4 linked regions of the Rattus norvegicus genome follow. The protein of the gene in region 2 purifies or fractionates together with the protein of the main gene of each other region. This does not show direct contact. Links are inferred from orthologs where the notes say so. Each region holds a gene or a part of one and is shown on either strand. Other genes may lie near its edges. The genes, in order: Med9, Med12, Cdk19 and Vdr.

Region 1 (4,155 bases), on a different chromosome or scaffold from region 2:
GCAGGTGAATGGCCTACTGCAGAGGTCTGCAGCCCAGCTCCCCTCCCGGTGGCTTTCCCTATGGGTTCTGTTTCTTGTCTGAAGGTTACTCCCTTTCCCCAAAGTTCACCCTGTAAAGAATGGCTTTCTGGAGTTTGGAGAGTTTCAGAAGTGAGCATCTGAAACATGGCCCACACTTTGCTTTCTGAATTAGAATTTCTTTGGGGCTGGGTTATGTTTGCTTCAGGAATTATTACTATAAACCTCCTTTCCTGTTTTAATTTTGTGGATTTTTTTTCTTATTTGTTTTTTTCTAGACTTGTGATGTAAACCAGTTTTGTTAAAAGTGTACTTTAAATTCTGACAGCAGCTCAGTGGTGGTCCTCATTGCACACTGAGAGAGCAGGAACTGCTTCCAAACCTCCTGCTTCCTGGCCTTGGGGCAACGCCTTTGTTCTTAGGGTTTAGGTTCTTTTGCTTTAGTTTGATAGCAAGAGTGGGATTTCTGCCATGGCTGGGCTGTGAAAGGACAGGAATGATCTGCCTTCAAAATGACATTGATCCAGAGGAAAGCATCTGCAGAGCTGTGGTAGAGGAGAACCCGCGTCTGCTGAGAATGTTCCAGTGACTTGTAGCTGGTTTAAAATGTATGGAGTTCGTTCGTCTTTCTGTTAACAGGCCCAAGCAAGCACACAACTCAGTGCCATGAAGGCCCTGCTAACTGGCAGAGCCTCCTGGTTGGCCTACAGATGGCTCAGGTCAGGTGAAATGAGTATTTCAACAGCTTGTTTATTTTTCTGTTTTTGGAAGGGTCAGCTGATGATTGGTAATGGTGATTCGTTTAGCATAGCTGTGGCCTTGCTTTCCAAGCACTCGTCCTTTTGATGTGTGGTGTTCTGGAAATGCTATTTGGTTTGCGTGTGCACACCTGGGAGTGGTGGAACAGGCAGAGGCGGGCACTTGTGCCCAGCGTTATCATTTGTCCCCTTGTTCCCTTGCACGGAACCTGAGACTTGCTGTTTCAGCCTGTTTCTACACCCCCATCCCATCCCAAGGCTGAGCTGGGTTTATATCACGTGTGTCCCTGCTTTTACATGAATGGTGGAGCTCCAAACTCGGGTTGTCATACTTGTGCAAGTGCTCTTTACCCACAGTTGTCCTATGTGTAGGGCCAGGTTGGTGAGACAGCTGTGACGAAGCCAAGTTGGTCCCTGCCATCATCGAGAATTTTAAGTATCTGACTTGTCAGGTGTGCTCATTGGGAGTGTTTTTATGAGCTTAAAGCTAAAGAACAAAACAAATAAAAGACCAATCCCTGTCTTCTGGGGTAGGTAACCTAGTAAGGGAACAGACATGTCTGACAACATTCTAAAAGTCATCAGAGGTGTAGAACAAGGAAGCCATTGTGGAAATGAGCTACACATGCTAATAACTGACTGACTGCCCTCTACTCCCCCTGTCACCCAGCATGGACAAGGACAGCCCGGATCTCCACCAGGACCTGAACGCCCTCAAAACAAAGTTCCAGGAGATGCGGAAGCTCATAGGCACCATGCCTGGCATCCATGTGAGCCCTGAGCAGCAACAGCAGCAGCTACACAGCCTCCGAGAGCAAGTCAGGACCAAGAATGAGCTTCTGCAGAAGTACAAGAGCCTCTGCATGTTTGAGATCCCCAAGGAGTAGGACCAGCTCCTAGCAAAGCTGCCAACAGACTGAAAGCGTCACACTGTGCTGTCCAGCTCCTTGGGAGCCCAGCTCTAAACTGTGAGGCCACATGTGGCTGGTGTGGGGCCTGGGTGGCTCTACTCAGCCTCCACTCTCTATGCCTTGGGCCTCATCAGAGGGAGAGGGGGTAGCTGTTCCCTTCCTCCCTGAGCTCCTCCCACTCCCACTATCAGCATGGCATCAGGTACATACTGTTCCCATCAACAGCAGTTTCATGAAGCATTTGCATAGAATTCACGGGGTAAATTAGGCCTGCACTCAGATGGCATGGATTTATTATAATTAAAGAAGGCTGTGAGAGTATGAATATTGTGTTGAAAGGCCAGAGGGTGGGTGGCTTCTCCCCCAAAACAGTTCACTTCCTTTTTTGTTTGAACAACTGAATGAAACTGTATCTCTGGGGGCGTCAGCCCAGAGCTCTGCCAACCAGCCTCCAGCTTCAGTCGCTGGCCTCCTGCATCTCGCCTCACCTTGTAGGCTCGGCTGCCTTTGTCTCCATCACTTCAGGCAGTGCTCAGAATAGCCAGCGCACTGCTTGCCCGGGGCCCTTCGTCCTTCTTCCCATGCTGGTTCAGAGAGGCGGTTAAGTAAGCGGCTCTGCCCTGATTCATGCCTCGTCCTCTCCGCTCTCACCAAGGAGTCAGCCATACTTGCTACCCTGTACATGGTCTCTGCACACTTCTAGTTTGGAGCAGAGTTGCTGGCAGGAGCAGTTGGGGGCAGTTTCTCAGCCAGGGGATGTGTGGTTTAAAGGGCATGGGGAGCTAAGTCTGGAGGTGCCATCGCTGTGTTCTACTTGTAGAGAGTGCCCAGCGAGTCCCAGGTAGCACACTGTGTTCTCTGTCTCCCAGGGACTGTTACACTGAGGGCGCCATGGCCCTTTCCTTCTCTCAGGAGGAAGGTGAGAAGTACCCAGGATTGTTTGGATCTTGAAATGGGCACAGCCTGGGCTCAGCTTAGGACTTAGCAGGTGCCTGCCAACTGGCTTTGTTGGCGGAGTGCTGGCTGGGGTGTTGTTGGCGGAGTGCTGACTGACCGGGGTGTTTTAGCAAACGTTCTGTCTGTCCAGGACGCTTCACACTTGGGACCTGGAATGTCAGTGGTTTGGGCAGAAAAGTGGACTCTGAGTTTGAATAGAGGGTGACAATGAAGCCACCTCTGCCTTGGGGCTGTCCTTTAACCCAGTCAGTTCCTTTCTGCCAAGGCGAAGCAGTGGCTGGACCAGCTTTAAGGCTCTGCCCAGTTCCTGTAAGGGCAGAGCACGTGAAATGCAGGAGCTTCGGATCTTCCTGACAGGGAAGAAAGAAGGCTTCCTCGAAGGGCTGGAGGCTCGGAGGCTTCTCTGTTCCAGTGTGTTGACCTGTCATGTTTTCACATATGTAATTAAAAGTATGTTCTGTTCTCAGGACACATGGTTTGCCTGTTGTCTCTGTCTCTCTCAGGGCTAGCAGTCAGACCCTGGGATTGCAGGTCTTTAAAATGAAGAATTAGAGTGGTGTGTTGAGTGGGTGGTGTAGAGGCAAAAATGTTCACTGCGCTCCTCCTTCCGCCCAGCATGTACATCTGTTAAATGAGCACAAAGCCTACACGTCTCCCGCAGGGGACCCTGGGGAGCCCAGCCATTCATTGTTGAGAAGTGAGTGCCTTTCTGAGATTTGAGGAGGTACAGTTCCCTGCAAGTGGCCCTTCCCAAAGCAGGGTTGACAAGACCCTTCCTCCCCCGGTCCCAAGACAATTTTGAGCATCCCCGAAGGTCAAGACCCTGGAAAAACCAAGTATTTGGCTGGGCGGCTGCAGCAGTTGTGCTGACTCCTTGGAGACCATGTTGACCCCTGCACAGAGTGCCTCGATTTCTCAGCTGCAGAATTGGAGACTTGGAAGGCGACACTTGCCCTAAGTTGACCGTAGGAGTGGCAAGGAGATCTGGGTCACAAACTATGAGCCCTTAGCCACAGGGAGTTAGGAAGGTGCAGAGGAGGTGGGCCCCACCTGCTCGAGAGCTTCTGGGAGCTGCACTCCACCCATCTGTACTTTCCCTGTCCAGGTCCTGCGGCAGCCCTGGGGCAAGGAATGAACGTTAAGTGCAGGCCTCTTCCCTGCCACACCTCTCCACCTCAGCCTCCATGTTTGTGGTAATCAAGGTTAGCGTTTCAAGTGTGGCAGCTTTCTGTTGCCTTCTATGATGAGTAACAGATGGGCTGTGTGGAGGAGAGTATGAATATTCTCTAAAACAAGGCCCTCTGTTACAGGCCAGGCCGGGCAGAGTGTAGACAGAAAGCCAGAAGGTCCCACTTGGAAGTGGGAGACCATATTCTGAAAGCCAGGTCCTTTTCCAGTTCTTGGCCACTGCCACCGAGGCAGGAAGCCTAAAAGCAAAAGCAAAGCGAAGCACCATTTTCCATTTTAAAATTATTTTATTTTAAATTAAAAAAAATAATAAAGACCTCACA
Region 2 (5,543 bases):
GTAATTTTGCACGGACCTGCAAAAAAAAAACAAAAAAAAACTTTTAACGAAACACTCAGATACGTAAAAATCTAAAAAAAAAAAAAAAAAAAAAAAAGTAGCCAAGTTACTACCACTTATGGCAGTACATGCCTATAGCACTTGGAAGGCAGAGGCAGAAGGATCACCATTAAGTTGAGGCCTGCCTGATCCACATAGCAACTTTCAGGCCAGCAAAGGCTACTCAGCAAGATTCTGTCTCAAAAACAAAACAGAAACATAAAACACATCCCAGCTGTGCAGTAACAGTTCAGCAGTTAAACTTACCTGCTGAGTAAAGGCACTGTTACCCTCTGGCATAGGCAAGTTGGAAGGAGCAATAGGCAGGTGGTCAAGTGGTGAGCCAGTCTTAATTCGGCTATCAGTCAATGAGTAGTGCCAAACTAGGGCACTAGGGCAACACAGGAGGATGGTCTGCCAGACAAATAAATAAATCAAACCCAGTTACCACTGCTACCTCTCTACATCCCTACTTAAGACCCACTTTCCTTTAGGTTTGACATCTCAATTAGGTTTATTACAACTAAGTCCTTGGAGCAAGTATCATTCCTGACCCCTCTCTTCCTTACCTTCCTCCTTTTTTAAAAAATAGTATCTTGAGACAAGGTTTCATTTGGCTGTGTAGCTTAGGCTGACTTTGAACTTATAATCCTCCTGCCTCTTCTTTCCAAGTTCTGGGACTACAGGCATAACACTATCATACCCAGATTCTCATGCACTTTCTAAAAAGCTTTGGGCCGACTACTTAGTCCTGGAAGAGAATGTCCAAAATCTCTAAAAGGGAGCATCCTATTACAGAGAAACACTAATTCTTGAACAGGTACTCAGTGCCTGCTCCCACCTCCAAGTTGAACTCACCCCCATTCTCCAGGATGAGCAGTCAATTCTTTATACTTCCTTGGGCCCTTTAGTACCTACCTGAAGGATACAGCTGAGGCCAAAAACCAAGGGACGGTGCTGAGGGCACATAAGCAGGTCACTAAAGGGAGTCGAGGGTGTATTGCTAGTTGGGGGTTGAGGTGCTGGGGTAGTGGGCAGAGAACTCGTTGACTGAGCCGATATAACGTGAGATGAGTGGCTGTTCACACCATCCAGCTGTAGAGCCAATCTCCGGGTACAGAAGTAGGCAAGGCGGCGGGACAGATAGGCAGACTGAACGAACTCCCCTGAGTACTGTAAAGAGGTGACCAATAAAGACCACTAGTTTTCTCCAAAAGACACTGTTCTGATATCTGATTCTTTCTCAAACCCTCTAAACAGTCCCTCCTTAGGTATAGGTCTTACTCGAAGCAGTAGGGGAAGCAGCAATTTAAGCAATTCATCTTCTCCAGGGCGTATTTTCTCAAAACACTCAAGCACCCAAGTCAGGAACTCATGTCTGTCCAGCATTCCATCCTATGGATAGCAGGGAACTATTAGAGGTAAGGCAGATAAAGTAAATGGAAGAATGAAGAGAGCCACACCAGGGCCAAGGTAAAAGGCAAATTCCGTTCTATACCAACAGGACAGGATAAGGTGCAACTCAATGCCATGTACAACATGCCCTTTCTCCTACCTGAAACATGAAGAGGGCGAGCTTCTCATTGTAGTCCCACTGCCTGATTGCCATCTCTACATCATGGGGCAAAGGTCCTATAGCAGAACCACAGACTCCACTTCCTGCAGGCCCTGGCCGATAGTATTCAGCCATCTTCTGTAGCTGCTCCCATAAGTACTTTGTGATGATTTGAGTCCATTCTAAAGAAAATATGGAAAGGGAACTATATGGTACTATTCTTAGGCTAAGAATACTCTCTCCCCTACCTTCACCCACAATCACCGGAGTTCTTAGCTCTATTCATCCTCCCAGCCTATAGATAAATGTCACCTCCTTAAAGCAAGTAATCATTATGTCCAGTGAAGTCTCAAAGAACCACCTGTCTACTCTTTTGGCATTTACCATTTTCTATATTTAATTATGCTCCATATGCCTTAGCATCTTCAGTAGGATCTAAAGAGTAGAAATTATATGCTGGTCATCTTTATAACCCAGTACCTGAACACATCAGATAGTCAAATTAGTTTGTTCTTACCAATCTTGTGAATGCAAACTTCATGCAGAAACAGGGACTAGACTAGGGAGAAGATTTATTCTAGGGCTCCATCGTCCCTCGAAGCCATCAGTGGTACACCGGGTGTACAGTTACTTACCAGTGAAGGGGTCAGCGGTGTTTTTCTTCTTAACCTTAGTCTCAGACATTGCTGCATAGTAGGCGCAGGTCATCTTAATGAGCCAAGCAGCCCGCATCACAGGCACTGTGTATTTGGCCAAGTACCCAAATACTTCTTCCTTCTTACTGAAAATGGGGACCTGGATGGGCATCATAAACAGCAAGGTCTCTAAGTACCCGAGGGAGCTGACACCATGTAGCTTAATCTCAGAATATAGGTAGACACTACCTTGACCTTAAGAACGGGAAAACAGTACCTCACCTTTTTGGCTAGGTGTGTGAGTGGTTTGGTGCCAGCTAGGTCAGTGAACCAGGTGTTAATAGCACTCTGAGATCTTGCAGTCACCAGCCAGAAGTTGTCCTTCTGGTTCATTAGGGACTTCCTTCGACCAGTGTCAGAGAGAGTATTACACCTTAACTTCTCTGCGATGATGCTGCTGAAGTTGGAACTGATCTAAAGGGAGAACAGTATATCTCAGGGTAGTAAGAACAGGCAGGCAGGTAGTCCTGCTTCTCATGTGAAAATGCCAATGTGGTAGCACTGGGTTACACACTCTGCCATTTAGGTTATCCCTTTCAGTCTGCCCAACCCAGAGCTTTTGCTCCTTCTCAGATTCTTCCAGCCTTTTCCTTCAGCCTGGCAGGGTTGTCTCACCTTGGCAGGATTGAAGTTGACGTTCTTGGCACTGCCATGTTCATCCCCAGAGACAGCAGGCTGGTTATTGAAACCTTGTTTTACATTCAAAGCCGTCAGTTCATCCTGAGGCAGAAAAACAGCATTTTAGCTAACCCTCATTTGCCTTATATTAGAGGTTGTAGGAGAGGGCAGAGAAAAAGGTAACAAGGGAGAAAGGGAGGAAGAGGATTCTGAGTAGAAGAGGTTATTTAAAGCCCAGCCCTTATGTTCATTTGGACCCCACCCTCACCCCCACAGTCAATGAGATTTCCACATTCCCCAGAGCAACCCCGACATCACTCTTCCCTTACAGGCACCTCACCAAGCTGGCCCTAACAACTTTCTGAGGTTTGTGTATGAGCGCCCGAGTGAGTGTGGAGGGGGGCACCCCTGGCATGGCTCCTGAACCACGAGCTCCTCAACCGGAACTGCTGGCAGACCCTACTCTCCGGCAGGGCACCAGTCCACTCTACTCTTCCCCCAGTTGGGACTTTTGCTCTCACCTAACCTTACCCCCCCTTCCCTCAACTGTCAGTGTCTCTTCCCACACTAAACACCTGCCCGGACCCCGCGGGAACCGGGAATTGTGAACGCACCTCCTTCTGTTTGGGATCTTGAGGGTACACATCGGGAGGCCCCAGCCGCAGCCGCTTCAGGGGTCGGTGTTCATAGCTCAAGATCCCGAAAGCCGCCATCTTGCCCAGCCCGTACCGCCTGAGGCGCCTGCAGGGCCAGGCGAGGTGGGGAGGGAAGGGGCGGAGGGCCGAGGACGGGAGGGAGCACGGGGACAGCAAGCCGGGAGGCGGTAGAGAGGACCGAGGCCGAGAGAAGGGGGGTGGCGGAGGCGGGGCACGTTAGAAACTCTCGATTACTGCCGGAAACTGCCGAGGGACGCTGGGTACCGTCGGACAATACTGACTGCAGAGTAGGTGGGGCCTCGCTAGCGCGGGGCGGAGCCCCACAGCCCGGGAGCTTTGGGCCCTAGGAGGGAAAGTCAATTTCACACACTAAAAATGCACGGGCATGGCTGGTGCTGGAGGCGCAGACCTGAAATAGGGGAAGCAACCGGAGCGCTGAGCTCTAGTTGGAACTGTGTTCCCGTTGCTTCGCTCAGTTCTTGGCCTGATAAGTGGTCAGGAATTTTTAGTGTAGTTAATAACTGCATCTCTTAAAATCACTTCGTTTCTTAGTTCCCACATCTGGATAATGGGCATGCTAAACTTCCTACTGAGGACAGTTGTAAAGATTAGCAACTTCTATTGTTTTAAGAAAACACCTTTGGACTGATACAAAAGATCCGGTCTAGCCAGGCACATGCCTTTAATCCCAGCAGAGGCAGAGACAGGCGGCAGAGACAGGCGGCAGAGACAGGCGGATCTCTGTGAAGCGCCTGTCTCACAAACAAAAGACAGCAGCAATAAAACTGTAGCGCTTTCTTTTAATCTCTGCAGGTGGTTACAGCCCCTCTGCACCAAAACCTCTAATCCTTTGTTGTTGTTCTTGTTAACACTTTACCTGGTGATGCACACCTTTAGTCCCAACAGAAGAAAGCAGATCTCTGTTAATTACAGGCCAGCCTGGTTCACACAATGACTTCCAGGACAGTCAAGTCTATATATGAACTGTTACCCTGTCTCAACAAACCCATTTGTTGAGACAAATAACCATTTTGATGGCAAACACCTTTAGTCCTAGCACTAGACAGGCAGAAGCACGAGAATCTCTGAGTTTTGAGGTCAGCATGGTCTACACATTGAGCTCCAGGACAGCCAGGACTACATAGAGCCCCTGTCTCAAAAAACAAAAAACAAAAAACAAAAAAAAAACAAAAACAAAAACAGGGGTTGGGGCTTTAGTTCAGTGGTAGAGCGCTTGCTTAGCAAACACAAGACCCTGGGATCTGTCCTCAGCTCTGAAGGGAAAAGAACAAAGAAAAAATACCCGTGTGTCATCTGAGTCAGATGGTCATACAGAGCAACACAGTGACTGACACATACCCTGTCTCAAAAGGACCAAAGGGTTTGGGGAAGCCATCGAAACTTAGTATATGTGTTACACACCTGTAATACCCACAACTCAGTACATAGGAAGATAACAGGTTCACTTTCAGCCCAAATTACATAGTGTGGTGCACGCATGTGCACATGTGTCCACACACACACACACACACACACACACACACACACACACCTCTCTTTTCTGAGACAGGGTCATCTCACCATGTGACCAGAGGTAGCCTGGAACTTCCCATATAGCCCACACTGTCCCAGAACTCACAGAAAGCCCAGAGAGCCACCTGCCCCCTAAAGCTACCAGGCTCTTCCAGGAAGGAGGAGGAAGAGGAGGAAAAGGAAGAAATAGGGATCTTCTTCACAGAATAGTAATCATACAAATTGTCAGATACTTTCTATCATGAAGTGTTGCATACATGAACTCCAAGTTAAGAACCTTCACAAGAGGGCCCCCCAGAAGGCAGAAGACGTTTACTTGCCATTGTACCTTTTACCAGAATAGAATTCTCTGGTTTCACACGATGAAAGCAGAGAACTGACTCTTGCAAACTGTCCTCTGACCTCCGTGTACACACAGATAACAAACAAACAAACAAATATACAAGA
Region 3 (5,025 bases), on a different chromosome or scaffold from region 2:
GAGACACTCTGTCTTAGCAACTCCTTTAGCTGTTGCCTCACCACTACTGAAAGCTTCAGGCAAAGTTTGCAAGGGGTTACAATTGTGACTCCCTGGTCACATGTGTTAGTCCGCATGCACAAGGCCCCACCAGCAATAAGAAAATAAATCAATGTAATAAACGTTTTACTAACTATACATCATTGTATTTGTGCTTTATATATTGAAGACATAGCTTAGAACGCTTTAAAGGCTATACCTACAATGTTCTGCTATATGCATGTGAGTTAACTTTTGAGATACATCATTTACATTCGTCCATTTTGAGAAATGTTATTTAGTAAGTATAAAAGTAGGTAATATTGCTAGGAATATGGCAAAATGTAGAAAAAAAAAGTGTACCACAATGCCAAACACATCCTGAAGATAAACTAAGTAATCAGATGGTTTAATTATATTCATTAACTACAACAAACGTCAGTATGCTCTGTTGTAAACCACCCTGCCAAGAGAAGCCATGCTGTAATGTCTCTCTTCTCTGTCCATTCAGATGCGTCCCTTCACAGACATGGGCTTTCTGGGTAATGGGTCACGACCTGCAGTAACCACTGCCTACCACACCATACTCACCATCATAATCGGCTAGAAAACATAACCTAACCTTCCTTAGTGATGTGGCCAAGGCGCCATCATCAGGGATGTCCATCAGCACCGTATGGTAACGTCCTGCAGCTACTTTTAACCCTTCCCTGTCTTCCTCTGTCACTCTTGTCCCTAATGGCTCGATCAGCTTTCTTCCTCCTCGATGTTTTTAATGTTGTCAGTCAGGACTGTATTGTATGTTGCTAGTCATATCAAATCCCAATTATTCAAAGGACAAAAAGCAAAATGTAGATTTCCTCACAAATTTAGCATAAAGAACCTCAGAAAAGCAGGCAGTGTGAAGCTGTTTCCTGTAAACATTATTTTATAATCTGTACTCCTATCTAGTTCTTACGTCACTTACACTTGTTTCTGACGTGACCAGGTATGGAGAAAGGTGAGAAGGAGTGAATATGCATTCATATGTTCTTATGAATATATTTTAAACCCAAAGATATCCCTATCTTAAAATATAAACCCAAACATTTTCCCTATCTTAAGAATTTCCCTAACTTCTACTGTGAATGGATAATTAGGACTTTGGCTATATTATGACTTAATTTGGAGATGATCTACAGTTTGAGATCTCCCTGTGTAGCTCAGGCTGGCCCTGAGCTCACACACAGCCTTCTTGCATCAGTGTCCTCCCAAGTACTAGCATTCCTTGGCACCTGGCAAGGACCTAAGTTTTTATGTCATAAGCTAAACCTCACTACCTGGGCGAGCAAATGAGTTGCAAGTTGGACAAAATTCAGTGTCAATTTTCCTTACTCATGGAAAAATAGCTGAATTCAAACTTACTCCAATTACATTTATTATAAACAAATAAAGAGCAACAAGCCACCACATCTATTTTCCTACAATTGTGCTTCTCAAAAAGTGCTCTCCAGTGTGTAGGGCACACAGAACTGCCTGGAAAAGCACGTGAGAGGCTGGCTTACCATGGACTTACTGTATGTGTAATCGACTGTGGTGGGTATGGCACCTTGAATGAAAATAACCTCATAGGCTCACATTTGAATGCTTGGTCCCCAGTGGGTAGAACTGTTTGGGAAGGATGAGGAGGTGTGGCCTTGTAGGAAAGAGTGTGTCAGTGTGTGGGCTTTTTGAGGTTTCCAATGAATGCCATTCCCCATTCCCAGTTAGTTCTCTCTGCCTCCACCTGACTGTGTCTTCTGCCTGTTACAACACTCCCCACACCATGACAGCCACGAACTCTCTCTGGAACTGTGACCAAATTAAATTCTTTCTCTGATAGTTGCACAGCCAGGGTGTTTTTCTCACAGCAATTGAAAAGTAATGAAGATACAATGGAAAACAATCTTAGCAGAAAAAAAATTGGCTACATATGTGCAGGGAAGTCCCCATAAGTAAAGCACTAGAAGCCCAGTCCTTCTCTCCCCCCACCCCCACTTCCCCTTATTAATTAATTAATTAATTTCCAGGCCTTGTCCTTCTTGCGGCTACTGTTTGTTCCCCCTTGCTCTCTCTTTTTCTTTGATGTACGGAAATGTCCAGAGCTGAGGGAGAATCTTGCCTCCTGGCTCCCTACCTACAGCTGAGGCTTTTCAGCCCTCAGAAAAGAAAGTCTCCAGAGCGCCTGCTGTAAGGAAGACCACTAAACCCTAACGCGTGCTTACAGCTGCTTTTCTCTAGTTCCTTCTCCTTGGTGTCCGGCAAGCTGCCAAGCACAGCCATCCTCCTTACTGTACTTCCTGCTGTGCTGGACCGACTGCCAGTCTGCAGACCACAGCAGCAAGGGAGGTGGCAGGCTGTACCAGGTCTTGGTTACAACACTGGGAAACAATCTTTTCTCCAGCACAACACTCCTGCCCTATCTCCCTTTGTGTGACAGTTCTCACTCACGCCCCCACTCCTCAGATCAATATGCTATGGAGCATCCAGCAAAGAAGAAGGGCATGTTCTCTCCACAGCACCGGCTTTATTATGAACGACTTCACAGTCATGAGCAGGCGACACTTACCGATGGCCTTTGTGTAATGCCTGGCACCGAGTAAAAGTTCTGGAGCCCGATACCAAAATGTCACGACTACTGGATCCAAATCTGCAAGTGGCTTTAGAGGAGAATTGAATAATCTGGCAAAACCCATGTCAGCTGAAAAATAAAACAAATATATAAAACTCAGTTTGACATACTATCAGAGCCATGCCTTTAATTTTTTCAAAGCAAACTTTTCCTCTGAAACTACATGCTGGTTAGGAACTGTTTATCTGTATTAAGATAAGAGTCTTCTATCCTGTCAACTTTATTTACTTATCAAGACACTAAAGTTTAAAAGTATTGACTTCCTGAGAGTGAAGATTTAAGTTCAGAGTCAGAAGCAGGACCTAAGCCTGAGCCTTAAATCCCTGGCTCTTGGGAGCAGTTAGGACTGAGTCTCCTTCTTTAGCTGATGCACCTGCCTGCCTGAGACTGTGCACCTGCCCGCCTGAGACTTGCACCTGCCCACCTGAGACTGTGCACCTGCCCGTCTGAGACCGTGCACCTGCCGGCCTGAGACTGACTACACATCACTCAGTTCAGTATGTGCTAGAACATAAAATGCCATATTGTGACCTTTCCCCTAGAAAGTTGATTATAACAGCACATTGTACACAATCCTGAAAACAGGCATAAAAGATAATAAATAATTGCTACAAAATACATAATTCATAATTGCTATAGTGATTCATTGAATAAAGATGTAAATGAAAGCTAACTTAGGCATTAGGGGTATAGAAAACTGACACTATGAGGTTCTAGAGATCTTTGTTATGATTTCATAAAGAAGTATTTTATATTTGTTTATAATTTACAAATGGCATTTATACACAGCATACAGCGTCCTTGCATTTTCATCATAGCTTAGTACTTTGCTTCTCATGTCTGAGGTGAAGAACCTAAAGCCAAAGCACAGTTGAATTATTTGTACAAGAATAGTAAGACATCGAACTTAAAAAAACATGGTTTGATTTAACAGCCCTATTTTTTTTGTGTGTGTACTTTGAGTTTTGTTTTTGTTTTTTTGATTTCTCTGTGTAACAGGCCTATAACTCACTCTATAGACCATGCTGGCCTGGAACTCACAGAGATCCACCTGCCTCTGCCTCCTGAGTACTGGGATTTATTAAAAGTATGGATAAGTGTGTGTGTGGGGGGGGGTGACATTAGGTGTTTTCCCATATTAAAAAGTGTCTAGCCATTTCCTCAGAAATTGAAACAATATATACCCCAGCAGGGAAGTTCCTTAAACCAGAAGGGAAACAACTCAAAATAGCTTCAGGAAGTCCCTAAAACTGATCAGATTTACTAGGCCCCTCCCTCCCAAGGATAAACTATTACAACTGCTGAGGTCACAGACAGGCAAAGGGGCAAAGAAGAGACTGAGACCAGACCAGCTGCTTGGAGGAAGGAGAGACAAGCCCACTTGCCTGAGAGAAGTTTAGACCAACTGAGTCACTTGGAAAGGATACTCAACCTACTGAGTTGCCTGTAGGCTACACAGTGTGCTCCAGGTTCCAGCTTTTTTGAGCTGTTACCTGTACTGAGGTGTGCTTTGATGATGTATCTGTCTTTGATCATTTCTGCTCCTATAAGCAACCCCTCATCCATTCTGCTAAGTAACCAATGAGATGAAGTTAATCTCTGGTGGCATTGTACTTTACTCTGTCATGAGTTCCCTATCCGTGGTGAGTGTGTAGTGTTTCCCCAGGCAAAGGTTAGTCATACTGAACTCTCCCGGAACTCAACACTTCTACAGTGGTTTGGCTGGCTGGCCAACAAGTTCCAGAATTCTGTTTCCAACCGCAGACCCCCTAACTCTAACTACTTTGAATGTGTGTGCTGGGGTCTGAATGCAAGTCTTCCATGCCTGTGTGCAGGCGCTTAAACTAAGGCACCAGCCAACCCCTCTAGTACCTAGACTTTCAAATACTGATTGACAGCCAAGAAGTTATACACATGGCAATTACAAATTACCAAGGCAGAGTCACAAGAATGATAAATCTCTATAATTTAAAATATATAATGTAATAATATACACAGTACATCTTGAATGTTTAAGGGACCCAAATGCAGGTAACTATAATTGATCATCTAATCTGAGACTAAGTACCTATGCATTAAATTATAACTGACTATGTTGTTTCTTTAGAGTTTGAATAATTTATAATGCTTCATGAAGCTGCTTTGGAGTATTGAGCTCTTAAAAAGAAAGCTAACCAAGGAAATCGGTGCTAATGCCTACCCCTTAAAAACTAAATTTCTCTAGTGATAACAGAAACAGTCAATAGTTTTACCAACTTTACATCTATTTTTATTATTATACAACACTGAGAGAGAACACTGTTTGATATAAGGAGAGTAGCTAATTGTTGCCACTGTTGGTGAAGTATGAAGACGGA
Region 4 (4,119 bases), on a different chromosome or scaffold from region 2:
GTTCTGCAGCTAAAATCAAAGGTCGCTCTCTCTAGGTTTTTTTTTTTTTTTTTTGTCTGCAGTAACAATAATCATTAATGTACAGTATTTTCACACACACACACACACACACACACACACACACACACACACACACACACACCCCACTCTGAATCAGGTGCCGTCACCCTCAGTGTTAGAACACAGTACAGGTGGGGTCTAATTCTGAAAACACCTGATCTAATGACTCTAAAACAAAGCCTTCCCTGTGCTGTTCCGCAGAACGGGAGAGCCGTTTTCAGATGTTTCCCACTGGAATTCTGGGAAACATAGGGCCAGGCGGACACTAATGGCTCTTTCCATGTTAAATTTGTCATCTCGGGGTTTTCAGGGAATGGAAAAATGTAGCTAGGACACATGCGGGGCTCGTGGGGCCCTGTTCCCACTGACCTTAGCCCTCTCTTGGTGCTTCCAACGTGGCTGCATTCCTCAGGTCAAGCATTCACTTGAAGGACCGTCTATGAGTCCCCCTGTGAAAAGAACCTCCTCTGTATGGGTCCCCCGCATCCACAACCCATGATCAGCAATGTGTGTATTTGGGGTGAGTGAGACCAGGGTTCCAAAGTCCTGGATTGCTACAGAGGAAGAAATTAAAGATAAGAACCTAGCCCATCACCTGGCCATTTCGTAGGCCTACATTGACTTTTTGGGTGGTAGAATGAGAGTCAGGAGGAACCGGCCCCAGATCACTGTACCACAAGCTCTGACCATCCCTCCACCTTTCCCCTGAGGGGGGAGCATTTGTATCTGGCCTTACATCTGGAAAGGAGGCTCGGAGGCCCATTTGGGCAGCTGTTGGTCTTCTCCCATCCCATTCTATTGGGCGGACAAGGTAGCTCTCATTGGTGTGTGTGTGTGTGGGGGGCACTGCTGCCAAGATGACTCCCGGGATACTCCTGGTGGTCAAATTGGGAGGTCGTGTGAGGCCAGAGGACCTGCTTTCTTGGGTAGGTGGTAAAACACTGGCGGGGTAAGGGATGGAGACAGGGCTATGGATTTCCTGAAAGTTGGGGACAACTTGGTCCTGACACATCTAATAGCTATAGAGGAGAGGTCCCAACAGCTCCAGGCTTCAGAACCCTCAGCTTGATGACCAAGATAGATGGACCTTCATTCATTGTTCTGCTGGGAGGCTGACTTTCTCTGTTCTTCATTACTTGGGCCCTGTATTCTATCTCCTGGGGCCTTTCCAATGGTGGTTTCTAGGTCCCTGGTTCTGGGCATGGGGAAGAAGCCCCCTGTACCACAGGTACTGGCCCTGGGGAATTCCCATGGCAAAACCTCAAAGGTGGGAACTGCAGGGCTGGGTGAGTGCTCCTTGGTTCGTGTGGTAGTGTATTTGGTCATCTTGGCAGTGAGTGAGCCCCGTGAGTATAAAGGCAGAGGAAGGAGGCCCCTCAGTGACCTACTCCCCCGGGTCAGAATAACACAGACAGGCGGCAGGATGAGACGGGACACAGTAGGGATGATGGGTAGGTTGTGTACCCTTCGCAGGCAGGGGCCAGATTTCTCACCAGGCTTTGGGCAGGTAGGGCTGGAGTGAGGGGAGGTGCAGGTACCTGTCCCTGAGGAGTGAATGCGTCTCTTCTGCCTGCCTCCCTTGACACAAGCAGCAGCCCCTTGTGGTGGAGGCATCCCCTAGGCAGAGTTCTGCCTTCAGCCCCTGCCCTCTATCCCCAATTGAGTTCCTTTGTCAGATAAACAGCAGCCTCTCCTAACTGAGGTCTCAAGAGACAGGAGCAACTCGAGGTCTACAGGAAAGGGAGACCAGGTGTTAGGCTGGGCAGGAGAAAGGATGAGGCAGACAGACAGAGGCCATGGCAGAGGAAGGACTGAACTCCAGAAAGGGCAGGAGGCACTGCTGGGCTGCAACCAGCCCAGGGCCTGGGCACAGGGCTCTGGAGGAGCGGCCCTACCCAGGCACCACTGTGGGCCACCCTGGTCAGGAGATCTCATTGCCGAACACCTCCAGCACAAGGGGTGTGAGCTTCATGCTATTCTCGGGCTGGAAGGAGAGGGAGCGGTATTGTTTGGAGTGTTCCTCGTTGAGGCTCCGCAGGTCGGCCAGTTTCTGGATCATCTTGGCATAGAGCTGGTGGCTGCCTGGGGGCGGGTGGCGGCAGCGGATGTAGGTCTGCAGCGTGTTGGATAGGCGGTCCTGAATGGCTTCCACCAGCTTGGCGTCCTGGACCCCAGGTCGGTCTGTGTCCCAGGGGATGGAGGGAGACAGGATGTTCACTGTTCAGTTTCACAGAATCCACCATCACCCAGGTACCCCATGCCAGCATCCCCCTGATGACATCCCCTGCATTTGGGACCAAATCCTTTCGCGGGCTCATTTGGTCCTGTTCCCACCTCACCCTACTTCTTCTGTCTCTAGGTTCAGTCCTTGCTTTGGAACTCAGGTACTTCCTACTCTGGCTAACAGACCTCCCCGTTGCCTGGAAATCAGCTCTCGTCTTTCCCCCCTGACCAACCGGTTATCACGGAACAGGCGCAAAGCGCTTTCTGAAGAAGGTCGTTCCTGGTAACCCTCCATCTCCACGCCCCCGTGACCTATACCAGGATCTCTCCGGCAGCATCTTCATATTCAACATTCTCGTAATATTTTGTTTTCCTTTAACTCTCATGGGAGAGAAGTCTATCCTTTTTACTGCAACTCCCTGTGCCTAGCCCAGTGTCTGGCCATAGTAGATGCTCAGTTAATCATTACTGAGCGTGTGAATAAGTGAACACACGTCAGCTAGACAGCAGGAGGGAGGCATATGTCTGTCCTTTGGGCCTTCAGACTAGGCATTCCTGGCCATAGGCCACTAGTTTGTCCCCTGTGCACACATGGTCCAGGCTGAGTCAGGGCTCTGTTCTTTGGGTTTTATCACCAATTTCTTCAAGATCACAACAACTTCCTTCTCAGTGTCTCCTCCCTTTGGGTTACAGCCTCCAGCCTCCAAAGTCAACTCAGGCAGAAGCATATATTAGTCCCCAAGGATTTGTGCCTGCATCGGAGGAACTCAGGAGACTGGAAAGTTCATCCGAGGTCACGCAAGAACAGAGCCTGAGTATTAGGAACACCCAAGTCCCATGAATAAGCTGTGGAACCCTGCTCATCTGGTTCCTCAGAATCCTATGAATCACCTTGGCCTGCATAAGACAAAGCCACATGTGTCAAGCGACCCCTCCACAGGCCTTCTGGGCTGTGCAAACCCAGCAAAGTGAACATTTCCTTGTCACTTCTCTCGTTCATTCCTCCCCCAGACTTCCCTGCTGGCTCTGAGAAGCTCTCTGTCATTCACAGTCCCCAACGTGTCCCAGGTCCCTCAGCTCCTCCCTGCCAGGCTCCGTACCCGGGGAGACAATGCAGATGGCCATGAGAAGGACATGCTCTTCCTCATGTAAGTTCAGCTTCTTCAGCCCCACCTGGAACTTTATGAGGGGCTCGATCAGCTCCAGGGTGTGCCCAGCTGTGAAAGAGAGCAGCCAGGGTCAGGTAGAGACATTCACCCCTACCTGAAACCCCCCCTGGGCATTACCCCTTCCCTCCTCTCTCTTGCTGCCCACTCCCCTTCCCCGTATCTGGTCAAACCCCCAGAGGTCCAGTGCCAGGATAGAGGTAGAGTCTGGGAGCTGGAGGAAGTATAGGAGGACGCCCTCCACACCTTTGGAGACATCGGTGACGTCGTACTTGTAGTCCTGGCTGCCACAGTCCCAGGACATATCATCCATGGTGAAAGACTGGTTGGAGCGTAACATGATCACCTCAATGGCGCTTGACTTAAGCAGGACAATCTGGTCATCGGAGGTGAGATCCCTGTCAGGGAAGGCAGGCGGGGAGAAGTCAGGTAATCAGTTCACGTCACGGGCCCTCGGTTAGTTTTTTTGGGCAGGACTGAACCGGCTGGCTGACCAGCATGTGTTTGGCTCTTCCGTCAAGGGGTTCCAGCCTGGCTAGAACAGGAAAGAAGGTATCTGGAGGGAGAGAACCCAGGGCTGTCCCAGTAGCTCGGTGACAGATAGCCAAAGCTATCCCGGACAGGGAGGGACAGCTAAAGGAAGCTCCCTGGGTTGTAGCACACAACACAG

What was found.
Region 1: the proteins of Med12 (region 2) and Med9 purify together in Homo sapiens (affinity purification with mass spectrometry; 6 studies listed by BioGRID and IntAct, with this or other methods). This does not show direct contact. The link is inferred for Rattus norvegicus from reciprocal best matches to the Homo sapiens genes MED12 and MED9.
Region 3: the proteins of Med12 (region 2) and Cdk19 purify together in Homo sapiens (affinity purification with mass spectrometry; 10 studies listed by BioGRID and IntAct, counting the BioPlex papers as one, with this or other methods). This does not show direct contact. The link is inferred for Rattus norvegicus from reciprocal best matches to the Homo sapiens genes MED12 and CDK19.
Region 4: the proteins of Med12 (region 2) and Vdr purify together in Homo sapiens (affinity purification with mass spectrometry; 3 studies listed by BioGRID, with this or other methods). This does not show direct contact. The link is inferred for Rattus norvegicus from reciprocal best matches to the Homo sapiens genes MED12 and VDR.

What each region holds. Positions count from the first base shown.
Region 1 is NC_086028.1:45,261,876-45,266,030, forward strand, and holds the end of Med9 (mediator of RNA polymerase II transcription subunit 9), read left to right. Parts: intron 1-1,446; coding exon 1,447-1,663; 3' UTR 1,664-3,113; downstream 3,114-4,155.
Region 2 is NC_086039.1:70,442,908-70,448,450, reverse strand, and holds the start of Med12 (mediator of RNA polymerase II transcription subunit 12), read right to left. Parts: upstream 3,642-5,543; 5' UTR 3,621-3,641; coding exon 3,522-3,620; intron 3,010-3,521; coding exon 2,905-3,009; intron 2,704-2,904; coding exon 2,512-2,703; intron 2,390-2,511; coding exon 2,230-2,389; intron 1,777-2,229; coding exon 1,595-1,776; intron 1,435-1,594; coding exon 1,324-1,434; intron 1,213-1,323; coding exon 958-1,212; intron 454-957; coding exon 307-453; intron 17-306; coding exon 1-16. UniProt on the Homo sapiens protein: Component of the Mediator complex, a coactivator involved in the regulated transcription of nearly all RNA polymerase II-dependent genes.
Region 3 is NC_086038.1:45,446,336-45,451,360, reverse strand, and holds part of Cdk19 (cyclin-dependent kinase 19), read right to left. Parts: intron 2,738-5,025; coding exon 2,606-2,737; intron 1-2,605.
Region 4 is NC_086025.1:130,865,765-130,869,883, forward strand, and holds the end of Vdr (vitamin D3 receptor), read right to left. Parts: intron 3,848-4,119; coding exon 3,696-3,847; intron 3,501-3,695; coding exon 3,384-3,500; exon of another isoform or gene 2,420-3,383; intron 2,242-2,419; coding exon 1,982-2,241; 3' UTR 1,306-1,981; downstream 1-1,305.